2 linked regions of the Drosophila melanogaster genome follow. The protein of the gene in region 1 purifies or fractionates together with the protein of each later gene. This does not show direct contact. Each region holds a gene or a part of one and is shown on either strand. Other genes may lie near its edges.

Region 1 (6,750 bases):
TCGAGTTGCAAACCAAATAAAACAAACATTCAAGCCGAAACGATCAGCTGGTCGGCATTTCCAGGCGAAGTTTACACGGCAGCAGCAAATCAAGATCAACAAGTGCTTACCGCAAAATTTGGATATTTTGTGAATTTTGAAACGCTAGTAATTGTCACTATCTTATCCTATCTCTTGCACTTTATAATTTTATCATCAGGAATTTTATTTATTTTTAGGTTAACATATAAACAATTTTTTAAATTAACAAATTAAGGGACTTTGGACGAATAGTTCCAGTTTAAATGCACGTAAAAAGATCAACATTACAAATTACAAAGTTAGGTGTACTATTTCTTGACCTTGTTCTTTAGGTTTTCAAGATAAGCTCCCATAACCTTCTGCACTCCCGGGCTAGAAGCTAGAGCTACAAAGTCAGCAATATCTTTCTCGCGAATCATCTCAAACTCCTTAATGTTGTCGCCACGGAACTGGAGCTTGGTCAGTCCGCGGGCCAAAGGATTGACCTTAGCAAAGGTGCCGATGAAGGCAGCGCACTTCTCCAAGGCCTCTTCCTTGCTGCTGGCGATCTCATCGATCAGGCCAACTTCAAAGGCCTCCTGTGTGGTGAACATACGTCCTTGGGTGAGAGCTCGCTCTGCCACCCGTTTGGGCAGTATGCTAGCGAAGCCGGACATTAGCCACTTGGGTGCAATGATTCCTAGTTGGGCTTCGTTTAATCCAATCAAAAAGTTGGGCCGCATCACTCGATACTCACAGGCAGTGGCCAGCAGGCAACCGCCAGCGGGGGCGTGGCCCTGATAGATTATAAATTAATACATATCTACATTAGAAGAGATAAGATACTTACATTGATGGCTGCTGCCGTGGGCAAAGTTGTTCCATAGAGGGCAATCCATACATTCTGCAATTCGGTCCAAACGGTTCGGAGTCGCTCCACGTCTGTGTTATACATTTCAAAGATGTCCAGGCCAGCTGAGAACACATTGGAGCTGGCCTATACGCAATTTAAGTGTTATTTGCATAGTTATATAAAGGATCGAACTCACAGAGGTTAAAATGAGACCCCGACTTTTATTGTTCTCAATTTCGCTAATGGAAGTCTGCAGGTCCAAAAGCAGCTGGACATTTTGGCTATTCACCGGAGGCCGGTTCATCGTGAGAGTAGCGATTCCTGTCTTATCGTTGATCTCCACTGTGGTCAGCTTGGTGGCGGTGGACATTAATCTACTTGGAGCCCCGTGGGCCATCAATCTTAAGAAATTTGAGCGCAGCATCTTTCTTTAAGTATGGAAGATGACCTTTGTTCAAATGTTTATTTGCAACCTGCATAGGTGGTAATTTGATTATATAGTTATATCTTAAATGTTTTCCATTTGATATGCAATTTTGCAAAATATATATATTTATTTACGTACATACCTCTGGGTTAATTTCACCGAATGTTTTTTAAATTCTTATCTACACAGCTGTTAAGTTAGTGCAACTGATCTTCGATGGAAAGTTTCCAGCCAACTGCTATCGGCCGCCGTTTAATTATCGAATACAATCAACTTTAAATTACCATTTGAACAGAATATTATCTTAAATGTATTTTCAGGATTATTAAGCCGCTGGAAAACATGATTCTGTTTACCAGTTCTTTAAATGCTACATGTATTTAGGAAAACTACAACTAATTTTATGTTATTCAATCAATATTTATAGAATAAGATTATATTTGTAGAATAAGAAAATGTTTTATGAATTCGTTATAAAATGGGTTCAAAACAACTTTATTACTATATAAAAACGTTTAAAATCATTATTGCTTCTTGGCCTTCTTCTTCAGACCCTCGAGATAAATGCCCAGACCCTTCTGTACCGCCGGCTGGTTGACAAAGAACAGGAATTTCTCCAGATCCTCCTTCCGTCCGTTCTGCAGTTGCTGTAGATCAGCAGCTCGGAATTGCTGCTTGGTCAGTGACCTGGCTAGCGGATTGACCTTGGCAAAGGTGCCAATGAAGGCGACACACTTTTCAATAGCCTCCTCTTTGTTATTGGCAGTCTCATCGATGAGGCCCACCTTCAGGGCCTCCTCCGTGGTGAACATGCGACCCTGGTTGAGGGCGCGTTCCGCAATTCGCTGTGGCAAGACGCTCAGGAAAGAGGCCATAAACCACTGGGGCGCCACAATACCCAGCTGTGTTTCGTTCAGGCCGATGGTAAAGTTTGGCACCATGACCCGATACTCGCAGGATGTGGCTAGCAAGCATCCACCGGCAGGGGAGTGTCCCTAGGGATAAGAAGAAACGCTCTCACTGCATGCTTCTTAGAATCTAGGAGGGAACTCACATTGATGGCTGCCGCTGTGGGAACACTGCTGCCGTAAAGGGCCAGCCAAGTATCCTGCAGTTGCGTCCAGAAGGCGCGAATCCTGTCCTTATCCGGCTTGTACATCTCCAGAATATCCAAACCAGCTGAGAATATTGTGGAGCTAGACTACGGGTGAAATTTGTATTTATGTATTTATTATACTCCATTGATTTAATATCCTTCCTACCGAAGTCAAAATGAGTCCGCGACTCTTATTGCTCTCGATTTCATCAATGGAGCTCTTCAGGTCCTGCAGCAGTTCCAAGTTAAGACCATTTACGGGTGGCCGGTTCATCGTGAGGGTGGCGATGCCGGTCTTGTCGTTGACCTCCACTGTGGTCAACTTGGTGGCAGTGGACATCATACGGTTGGAGCCAGCACGGGCCACCAAGCTCAAGACTTTCGATCGCATCATTTTGATCTGAAGAGCACAAAAGACGTAAACACAACTGAAAGTGACCTTTGGACGGATGCCGGTTTCTAATTTTCTATGTCCGTAATCTTCTTTATCAACTCAATTTTAAATACGAATATATTTTATGCGCGACAAAGTAAATTATTCAAAACTAAGGCAGTTTTCGTATTTACCTATGAATATTATTAAGCGCTGCAGTTTTAACTATTAAACTCAGCTGCCGAAGAACCTGTTGCGCTATCGATAGTCCGAAATCCAGTGGCGTAGAATGGGGATCTTATTGGAAAATAGGCTTACACCGAATGGTTAATACTTTTTCTTAGTTGTAAGATACATTATGTCATTAATGTTATTAATTTAAGAGCGTTTGAAAACTACCCAGTAAGCCCCATGATAAATCTTAGTGAACACACTTAAAAAGTAAATAAACAAATATGTTTTAAGTAGTATTATTTTATTTAAAAAAATATAGCTTACACTATTTATGAAGGACTGTATTGCAATTAAATGTAGTAAATGTGAAGCATCGCCTCAGCAATGTCATTTTATTATACAAATCATCGTCATATAAATTCAAATAAATAACCATAACCGCCACAAAATGCTAAAAACCATGGCAAACATCGATAGACGACAGCGCTGTCATCGCCAATCGACAGCCACTGACAGCCGCACTCCAGCCTGCAGCCCTGGTTTTTGACGTTTACACGTCACAATTCGTCGAAGCCGACTTGCGTTTGCATTCGTGTACACTTTACCGCACTCTTCGCTACTTTCTCTACGAAAATCGAACTGAAAAATGGGATCCGGCAAACAACAGAAAGTCCAGTCCTCTGGCTTCACCAAGGAAGAGGAGCTGCTGCTGCAGGACTTTAGCCGCAACGTGAGCACCAAGTCGTCGGCGCTGTTCTACGGCAATGCCTTTATCGTGTCGGCCGTTCCAATCTGTGAGTAAAGTGACACGTTGTATGTTTTGGGACACTTTGTGAATGAATGGAGTATGCTCCTTGCAGGGCTCTTCTGGCGCATCCACAACATGGACTTGTGGCCCAGCTCCATCCTGTTCGTCCTGGTGACGGCCGCTAGTACTTATCTGATGGCCACCGCCTACAAGAACATCAAGTTCCAGCTGAAGCACAAGATCGCCGGACGGCGGGAGGAGGCGGTGACCCGCGAGGTCAACCGTCAGGTGGGCGATGACAAGAAGGTCACGCGCAAGGAAAAGGACGAGCGCATCCTGTGGAAGAAGAACGAGGTAGCCGACTACGAGGCCACCACCTTCTCCATCTTCTACAACAACGCCATCTACCTGGCCGTTATCATTTTCATCAGCTTCTTTATCCTGAAGAACTCGACGCCGTTCATCAACTACATCTTTTCCGTGGGCATCGCCAGCGGCGCTCTGTCGCTCTTCTCCACCAGCGCACAGACGAACTGAGCGAATGTGCAGCCATGTCATCCCATGTTCATGTACTCGTAATGTAAGGCCCTTCAAGAGATTTCCTGGTACAGCGGGCTGGTCCTTCATCCGCCAACCCCCGTCCCATTGGCGTTTCCAGCAGTGCGAGCATAGAAATTTTATAGTATAAACACCAACTTGTCTTTCTTGTAGAAAGCTGATCAACTTCCATTCGCTGCTGATTGAATAAATTGTAAAGATAAAATAATTTCTTTATTGCTATCGGGGTATTTTTAAAACGGAATTTTCAGCACTAATTTAAGTGTAAATGCAGGGCACCTATTACATTAAGCTGTAGGATTAGACAGCCTCGAGGAGAAGGGCGATGCCCTGACCACCACCAATGCACGCGGATCCAATGCCGTACTTTAGCTTCTTGCGCCTGGAAAAAATATATAATTATCAATTTATGACAGGTTGTAAATTTCCACGGAAACTTACTGCAACTCATGAACCAGATGACCAGTGATGCGAGAGCCACTGGCACCCAGAGGATGGCCCAAGGCGATGGCGCCTCCGTTCACATTCAGTTTGGAGGTATCCAACTTCAGGGCATCGGCGCAAGCCAATGTCTGGGCAGCAAAGGCTTCGTTGATCTCAATCAGATCAATATCCTCCAGTTTCTTGCCGGAAACCTTCAGGACGTTCTGAATGGCGGGTACTGGGCCAATGCCCATGATCTCAGGCTTGACTCCGACAAAGGAGAAGGCCACTAGACGGGCCAGAGGCTTCAGGTTGTACTCCTTAAGCGCCTCCTCGGAGGCCACGATCACTGCGGAGGCACCATCACAGATTCCGGATGCTGTTCCGGCAGTCACAACGCCGTTCTTCTTAAACAGCGAAGGCAGCTTGTTCAGACCCTCGATGGTGGTCTTGGGACGTGGGTGCTCGTCCACCACAAAGTCCACTTCCTTTCCCTTGACCTTAAGTTTGATGGGTGTGATCTCGGCATTGAATGCTCCCTCCTTCTGACCCTTCTCCCAGTTCTTTTGCGAGAGCAGAGAGAACTCATCCACACGCTCCCTACTGATCTTGTACTGATCGGCCAGGTTCTCAGCGGTCAGAGCCATGGGCAGCTTGCAGTAGGTATCGGTGAGGCCAGCCCATAGAGCATCCTCCAGATTGTAGCTGGCACCCAAGGTGGTTCCGAATCTCACATTACGGGCAATGAAAGGGCTCTGTGACATGTTCTCCACGCCGCCGGTAAGGGCTATCTTGGCACCGCCGACCAGGATGTCCTGGGCTCCGTTTACGATCGACTGGAAGCCGGAACCGCAAAGCCGGTTGATTCCAAGGGCGGGCTTCTCGATGGGCACACCGCAGTTGAGACCCACATGACGGGGCACATAAATACCATCGGTGGAGGAGGACTGCGAAGTGGAAGAGAAGAGATTTTTAAGACTTACAAGTTACAAAAAAACATAATATAAGCATGTAGTTCCAGTTTTTGATCTACTGAGTTTGCAATTAAGCAATAATAACAAATAAATATCGAGTAAATTAATTTACATAACCAGATGTACAAGTATTTTATCACATTTACATATTTCTTTTAGTTTAATAACATCTTAATATTGTTTTAATCCGACGCCTTAAGAGTTTCTATTTTAGGATCTTCAATCCAACTTACCGCGATCACATTTCCCACGATGACGGTGTCCACTTGCTCACCCTTAAGACCGGCAGCATCCAGGGCAGCCTTGGCCGCCGTGGTTTGCAATTGGGTCTGGTTGATGCCCTTCAAGGATCCACCGAAGGTTCCGAAGGCCGTACGCTTGGCAGCCACAATATAGATACCTTTACAAAGGAGAAGAAACATACGAACATATGTATAACATATATAATGTGCGTAGTGATAGCACAAATTTAGCTCGAACGAAGGCGGATTTTTGTTTTCGATTCAACAGGTCCAAAGTGCAACCGGCTGGACGCGGGGGGGGGGGATAGCATCAGATAAGACACCAACGAGTCCAAAGTTCAGATCTCTCTAGCGAGATCATCTCTTATCTAGACTTCCAACAGCATAGGCATATCCTAAAGGATTCACATAATTACCTTTGGTTGCGGCAGACATTTTCTAAGGTGGGTTCACTCTTAAATAAAACAACAAATAAATTAATGCAAGTAAAGGCGACTATCGCACTGCAATAACTTTCGACTTCTGGTCGCGATTCGCCGCCATCGCCGACATATTATTGGATGAAAGCTCGAAAAGCTTTACCCCGCTCTCTGACAAACAAAGTGAGACAAGCCCACCGATTACAGCTGTAGAATACACTGTGCAAAATTAGCTGCAGTTTGTTCCTTCCTTTGTTCTTAGTGACGATTAGTCACCATCGCTGAATTTCGATTTTTGATGAAACTCAATCAATCCTCTAGTTTTTAAATACAAGTCTCTTTAATGCGTTCTTAATGTATATTTATCAAAGCAATTTTGCATACTTAAGTACTCCTTACAAAATGTTGATCATACAATGTTTTAAAGTTGGTCTTCATTAGAAAGTTTTTTATTAATTTAACT
Region 2 (6,166 bases), on another chromosome or scaffold:
TGCTTACCCCTCCTCCATCATTCCCTAACCAACGCTAATCTTTCAGCCAACCAACATTCGCGTGGCCTCCGCATCTCTCTCCTTCATCACTTGCCTTTTCCGCTCATCCACAAAATTCACTTTTTTATTGACAAACAAGCCAGAAACCGATGGAAAATTACGACAAAATGTGTATAAGGCAACGCACAGACTGTACTTTGAGTCATTTTATTGCTTGCATGATTTTCCATACGTATTTCTTGGCGCATCACAGTTTAATATGTTATTATTACTATTTATTTAAATCTACTCCATGTTTACTCCAAAGCAATGTGTCTCTTCATGCGAACAGTCTTTTTGCGTCTAAATTATCTTTCAGCCCATTCGTCTTCCCAAAATCCATTCGATCTACATATATGTGTGACTTGCTGAGAGAAAACCTATGCTGGTGTGTTTATTTTCGATAGACCCACGCACACAGTCTCATGATTTCACTCGCTCTTCACTTTCAATTGGAGGCTCGTTTCGTATACGTGAACGGGAGAGCCGTGCGATCTATGGAAGTGTGCGATTTTTGAAGGCACTCACAAATACTACTATGCGGCGAGTCGCTCTCTTCCTCGCTCACTGCCCACACTCTTTGGAAAATGATCAGCTGTTGGATCAGCTGTTTGGATTGCATGCACAACTTTGGAAATTAGCCACCAATTCTGGCTTATTTGAAAATAATAGTGCAATATAAACTAGATGTACTGTACTTTTGAGGCAGCTTCTAGAATTTCATCACAAAGTCCCGAGTTTCACGAGGTTGATGCATGCTAACATTCAAAAATAGAGGCGTTCGCAACAGGGAGGCCTTGCCCGCACGGCTGTACATTATATCGGTGTATATACATAGGTATGTATGTACATACATATCAGTGAAAACAACACTGTCGCTATCTCGCTCACTGATCGTCTCAAAGCAAGTGGGTATAAAAGCCAGGGATCTCTTTCACTCGGAATTCAGTTGTCAATTATCAGGCAAACTAACAAGAAGAGGGAACAAGTTTTCTAACCTATTCAAAATGAGTTCCAATTCTCTATTCGAAACCGACGAAGATGTCGCTCAGGCAAACAAGTTATCCCGAAAAGTGAAGGAGTCCCCCTTTATGCTGGTGGGTATTGCCGGATTCGTGGCCGCAGGTTTGATTGGAGCCTACAAATATCGGAACCGAGGCAGCATGAGCACCAGCGTCTTTCTGATGCAGTTGCGTGTGGCTGCCCAGGGAACCGTCGTTGGATGTTTGACAGCCGGATTGGCGTACACCATGGCCAAGGAGTACCTGCTCCACGAGGAACCGAAAAGCAATACCAGGCCAGACGAATAAATAAGATATAGTAGGATCATCGGCCAAAGACCAAAAATACATACATAAAATGGTGACCGTTAATTAAACTGTAAGTACATCTGTCGAAATTTCTGAATGAACAACTATTAATTTCATTTTCCCAACAGCATCAAATTGCCTACCTCCCCACCACCTTCATCGAATCAGAAATGGTAGAACAAATTATTCTAGAATTTAAGAAAGTTCTGCAAAGTATTAGCCATCAGGTTTAATCTTAGTTAAAATTAGTTAACTATTAAGCGTACACAATAAAGAATGTTTCTACCAAAAAACACTTCACTTACAGTTATGACATTTATGATTCATATTCCGTTGGAGTAATGTTATATTTAAACAAGAGAAACCGCTATAGTCAATTTCCTCGACTATCAGATACTCTTTAATTAGCTAGTGGGAGTGCGAACGAGAAAGTTCAACATATGTATAATAAAATGAATAAATTTCAAAGGCGTTCATGCAGACGGACAGCTCAGCCTCGACTCGGATATTGATCATGATCAAGAATTTATATACTTCATATGGTCGATAAGGCATCATTTTATTTGTTTTATGCTTTTTAAGAAATCCCAGTATATCCTTTTACTCTACGACTAATGGTTTTAAAAACTGATGCATTCCGAATAAGAACACTACGATTTTGATAAAATAAAAAACCAAATAATTTGTCAAAAAAGGTACACCATCTCATTTTCACTATTATTCCATCGTATATATTATACAGTTTTGACTTATTTACCAACTGCAATAGAAATACATCAATAGATTAAAATCACTATACCATCCGCAAGGAAATAAAAAACAGACATTATACAATCTAAAAGAACGTCAAAATCGCAGTAACTCCCCTAATTCTGATTGGATTACATTATTCTCCAAAAATTTCTTTCATTAAATCAATTAAAATAGTTTGGATATTTTGTTAAAATAATTTTTTATTAAATAAATGAACTGCACATAGTATATAGTATATGTCAGGAAATACGGCACATTATTGAATGGATCACAAATGGGGAACGGTTTTGTGTCAGTAGTTGTCAGTGGTGCGGACGTAGTTTACTCCAGACGGCATGGATACCTTATCAAATCCCTTGGGGAAGAGTTTATGAGCCTCTTCATCGGTGACAGTGGGCAGGATCATGACCTTAGTGCCAGGCTGTTTATGAAACAGAATTAATTAGTTCGGAACAGTTCGCATTAAGTGGGTAGAAAAACTTACGGTCCAGTTGGCGGGAGTGGCCACCACCTTGAGGCGATCAGTCAGCTGGAGGGAGTCAATGGTCCTCAGAATCTCGCTGTAAGATTAAAGGATCGTCAGTTGAGATTAACAATAGTTGTAGCCCGAAAGAGGTACTTACTCAACGTTGCGACCAGTGGACATGGGGTAGAACATGGAGAGGCGCACCTTATGGTCCGGACTGATGATGAACAGGGCGCGGATGGTCTTGCCCACCTCGGGATCCTTCTTCTGCTCCTCGTCGAGCATGCCCAGGCTGACGGCCAGGTCGCGAGTAGGGTCGGCGATGATCGGGTAGGGGAAGTCCCCGGGAATGTCCAGGCAATAGCTCTTGATGTCGTTCACCCAGTCCACGTGCGAGTTCAATGCGTCAACGGAATGTGCCAGGCACTTGGTGTTCCGCTTGGCAAACTCCGGCTGGTGCACCGCAATCCTGCCCAGCTCAGTGGTGCAGACGGGAGTAAAGTCGGCGGGGTGAGAGAAGAGCACCACCCAGCTGGCGATCCGAAGAAGAATTGGTAAGATTCGATCAGAGAAAAAGGGTTTGATGGCACTTACGAGTTGCCCTGCCACTCGTGGAATTTAATGGGCCCCTTGGTTGTGTCGGCCTCGAAGTTAGGTACGGTCTGTCCCAAACGCATCTTGCTGTTTGATTATTAGTTTCAAAAAAACTTAGTTGCTCAACTGGTAGCTGCTTTTAGCTCGCACACTTGTTGCTTACTGAATACTGACTGGGAGAGCTGGCTGTCTTTTATACCCAACGTGATCGACGTAAATAGCGGGTGCGATAGAGATAGGAAATGGGCGCTCCCTCAACGCGCGTGTTTGTTTGTAGTATATTATTCTGTGAACAGATTATAAAACAATACTGAACAGATTGTGGAGTAGTTTGCTTTGGTGGGGGGAGTGGGAAACCTTGAGCATGGTGTCATGTGTGTGAAACTCGACAGGGGCCTCTACAAAACGTGGTACATAATTTGGACTTTGAGACGAAATGCTTCTGGAAGTATCTTAGAATAAAGTACTGTTTTCCTTATTTGGTTCTTCATTAATCTCATTTTAAAAGTCCAATAGGCGCAAACTCCTTTAGCATCTAACATCCAAACAGCTGATCTGGTCCAGCTGACAGATAAGCCGGTTCCAAACATAAACAGAGAGCCAGAGAGCATTTAAATGTTAAATGGTATTGGTAAATAGAGGCGAAGCACCAACACCTGCAAACATACAGCCACATCGATAGGCGGATATTGAGAGCAAGAGAGCGCCGAGCAGTGTGATGGTATTTGTGAGTGCCTCCAAAAATCGCACACTTCCATAGATCGCACGGCTCTCCCGTTCACGTACACAAAACGAGCCTCCAATTGAAAGTGAAGAGCGAGTGAAATCATGAGACTGTGTGCGTGGGTCTATCGAATATTAAGCACACCAGCATAGGTTTTTTTTTCAGTAAAACACACAAATAGTTCGAATGGGTTTTGGAAAGTCGGATGGGCAGATCGCTAACTCAGAAGACAGTACCCAAATGGGATTCAGATGGTTGAAATTAAAATAAAAGATATAGTCATCATGGATATTCAAAATGCAGCAAGTGTTAAATTTATTTAGAGGTGGGTTATCTTTAACAAAATTGGATTCACTTCCAATAGCTCGATCGTATTTCCTAAGTTACTAGTACATTCGTAAGAGGGTGCTAGTTATAAGGTCTAATCTAAGAATTCAGAAACCTTCGTCTCTATAATAAACGTTTTGTAGTAATTTTCCATTACTTATCAGTTTTGTGATACCGAAAATAGAATTTGTTTTAATCGTTAAAAATTTAATGACCTACTTATTAATAACAATTAATAAAATTAGTTTAAAAATATTCGATATTTTGTAACCCAGCTTATTTAAGCTCACAAATTATCTTGTTTAAAAAACAACCCTAATAATAAGAACAAAACAATAACAACAATGTAAGAAAATGTGTTTCTTTTTGACTACCTCTCTTAATTAAAACTTATGAGGATTTTCACTTATAGCCGCAAGAATTCAATTTGGCCGCGCATATCGTTGATATTAATCCTTATAAATATGTTACATTTAAAAAAACATCAGAAAGAAACCCGCCGCCAAAAGGATGTATAAAAATATTCGTTTTCGCCTGAAAGTATGCCCCAGCAGACGATTTTGCTTACCAGCTTGATGCATTAACAAAATGGCTTACAAATGTAAGTCAACCAATATTTTGGCTGAGAGTCTCAACTTGAGACTGATATTAGTGTTCCAAAAGCTATTCTATTTTCGCATCGGTGACTGTAGGAAGAGCTTTTGCGCCTGAAAGCTAACGCTTGAAGTCAGCTTCCGAACAGCTGATTTTGATAAGCACCGCAATCGCCCACGCCGCATGTTTTCCTTTCTGCTTTCCTTCTTTGCTTTCGCTTTGCTTTGCTTTTTGGCGCTCCGGCTCAGTTCAAATTTAGCGATGCGCGCGTGCGGTAGCTGAGCGGTCGAAACATAACGGTAAACGGTCCTCGAAACTGTTTTTTGACATATTTGTCTTATCGTATCGCCCCGACTTTGAGCCTAGGGACCGCCGTTCGTAGTAAACTAGCATTCTGACAAAGTGCACACACCTTTTGGCAGGCGGCGAAAACTTTTGTCCGCGAAAACTTTTCCACTTGTGTGTTGTTTGCCCATGCGGTGCGTTCGCGTGTGTTTGCCAACTAATCCAAACATGTGAGGCTACAAACAAATCATCTTTAACACTATCCACCCATTCAAACGGAGCGTTTTCCCAAGTGATCTGATCGCCTCGTAGTAAAAGTTTTCCCTTGACCAGCTCTAATGGTAAATGCAACGATAAAGTTGTTTTCCGAAATTCGGCGAAAAGTTGCCAGCCAACTGTCCTCATAAAATATGCCAAGACATTTACATCGCCCGGCCCAACTGCTTTAAGCCCGCTGGCACCCGTTGGCCATCAAAGTGTTAAAGTGCTATAAAAAACAGGTACGAAAACATACTCCCTCGGTGCCCATTGAATAATGCATTCAATTACGAATGTCGCCAAAATAACTAGAAAAAAAAATAAGCAACAATTTATGCGCACGTGAGGTGTGGGCACAAATGTTATTATTCATATGTACACGCTTTTGTTTACTTTGCCTAATGTTCTCTTTCGGACCGACAATTAATATTTAAAGGTACTCTTGTAATTCATGTTGAATGTAATTAAAGGATTGTTTGGTAGGTAGGTAATGCTTTTTGTTGTTCAGGCAATTAAACATTTCAGTGGCCCATTTAAATTAAATTAGCTTAATACGTACTATATGTGACTTTAAAAACTTGTTGGCATTTGGGCAATAACACTGTTAAAAATAATTGTTTAAATAGTGTTAAAAATATATAAAATAAAAAATCAAGATTAAATAATAAAATAACTTTAACTACAGTTTCACAATAATACAGACCCGCCATTTAAGGTATTTTTTGAAAATACCTATTGAATTTAAATACAATTAACAGCTTATTCGAGATTATTTAAAGGTTCAAAAGGTGGCACAAACAAGAGTAAAATCGCATT

Evidence for each region.
Region 2: the proteins of CG4598 (region 1) and Prx6c purify together in Drosophila melanogaster (affinity purification with mass spectrometry, with the first as the bait; one large-scale study listed by BioGRID). This does not show direct contact.

Annotation. Positions count from the first base shown.
Region 1 is NT_033779.5:9,914,901-9,921,650, reverse strand, and holds CG4598 (uncharacterized protein), read right to left. Parts: upstream 3,034-6,750; 5' UTR 2,944-3,033; intron 2,777-2,943; 5' UTR 2,771-2,776; coding exon 2,543-2,770; intron 2,482-2,542; coding exon 2,335-2,481; intron 2,276-2,334; coding exon 1,805-2,275; 3' UTR 1,531-1,804; downstream 1-1,530. Other genes in the region: CG4594 (uncharacterized protein), read right to left, coding at 330-797, 851-997, 1,050-1,277; CG5885 (uncharacterized protein), read left to right, coding at 3,570-3,717, 3,784-4,208; yip2 (yippee interacting protein 2), read right to left, coding at 4,530-4,611, 4,671-5,599, 5,860-6,026, 6,285-6,303.
Region 2 is NT_033778.4:10,415,884-10,422,049, reverse strand, and holds Prx6c (peroxiredoxin 6c), read right to left. Parts: upstream 3,333-6,166; 5' UTR 3,246-3,332; coding exon 3,163-3,245; intron 3,101-3,162; coding exon 2,726-3,100; intron 2,663-2,725; coding exon 2,587-2,662; intron 2,524-2,586; coding exon 2,395-2,523; 3' UTR 2,289-2,394; downstream 1-2,288. Other genes in the region: CG11825 (uncharacterized protein), read left to right, coding at 884-947, 1,003-1,349.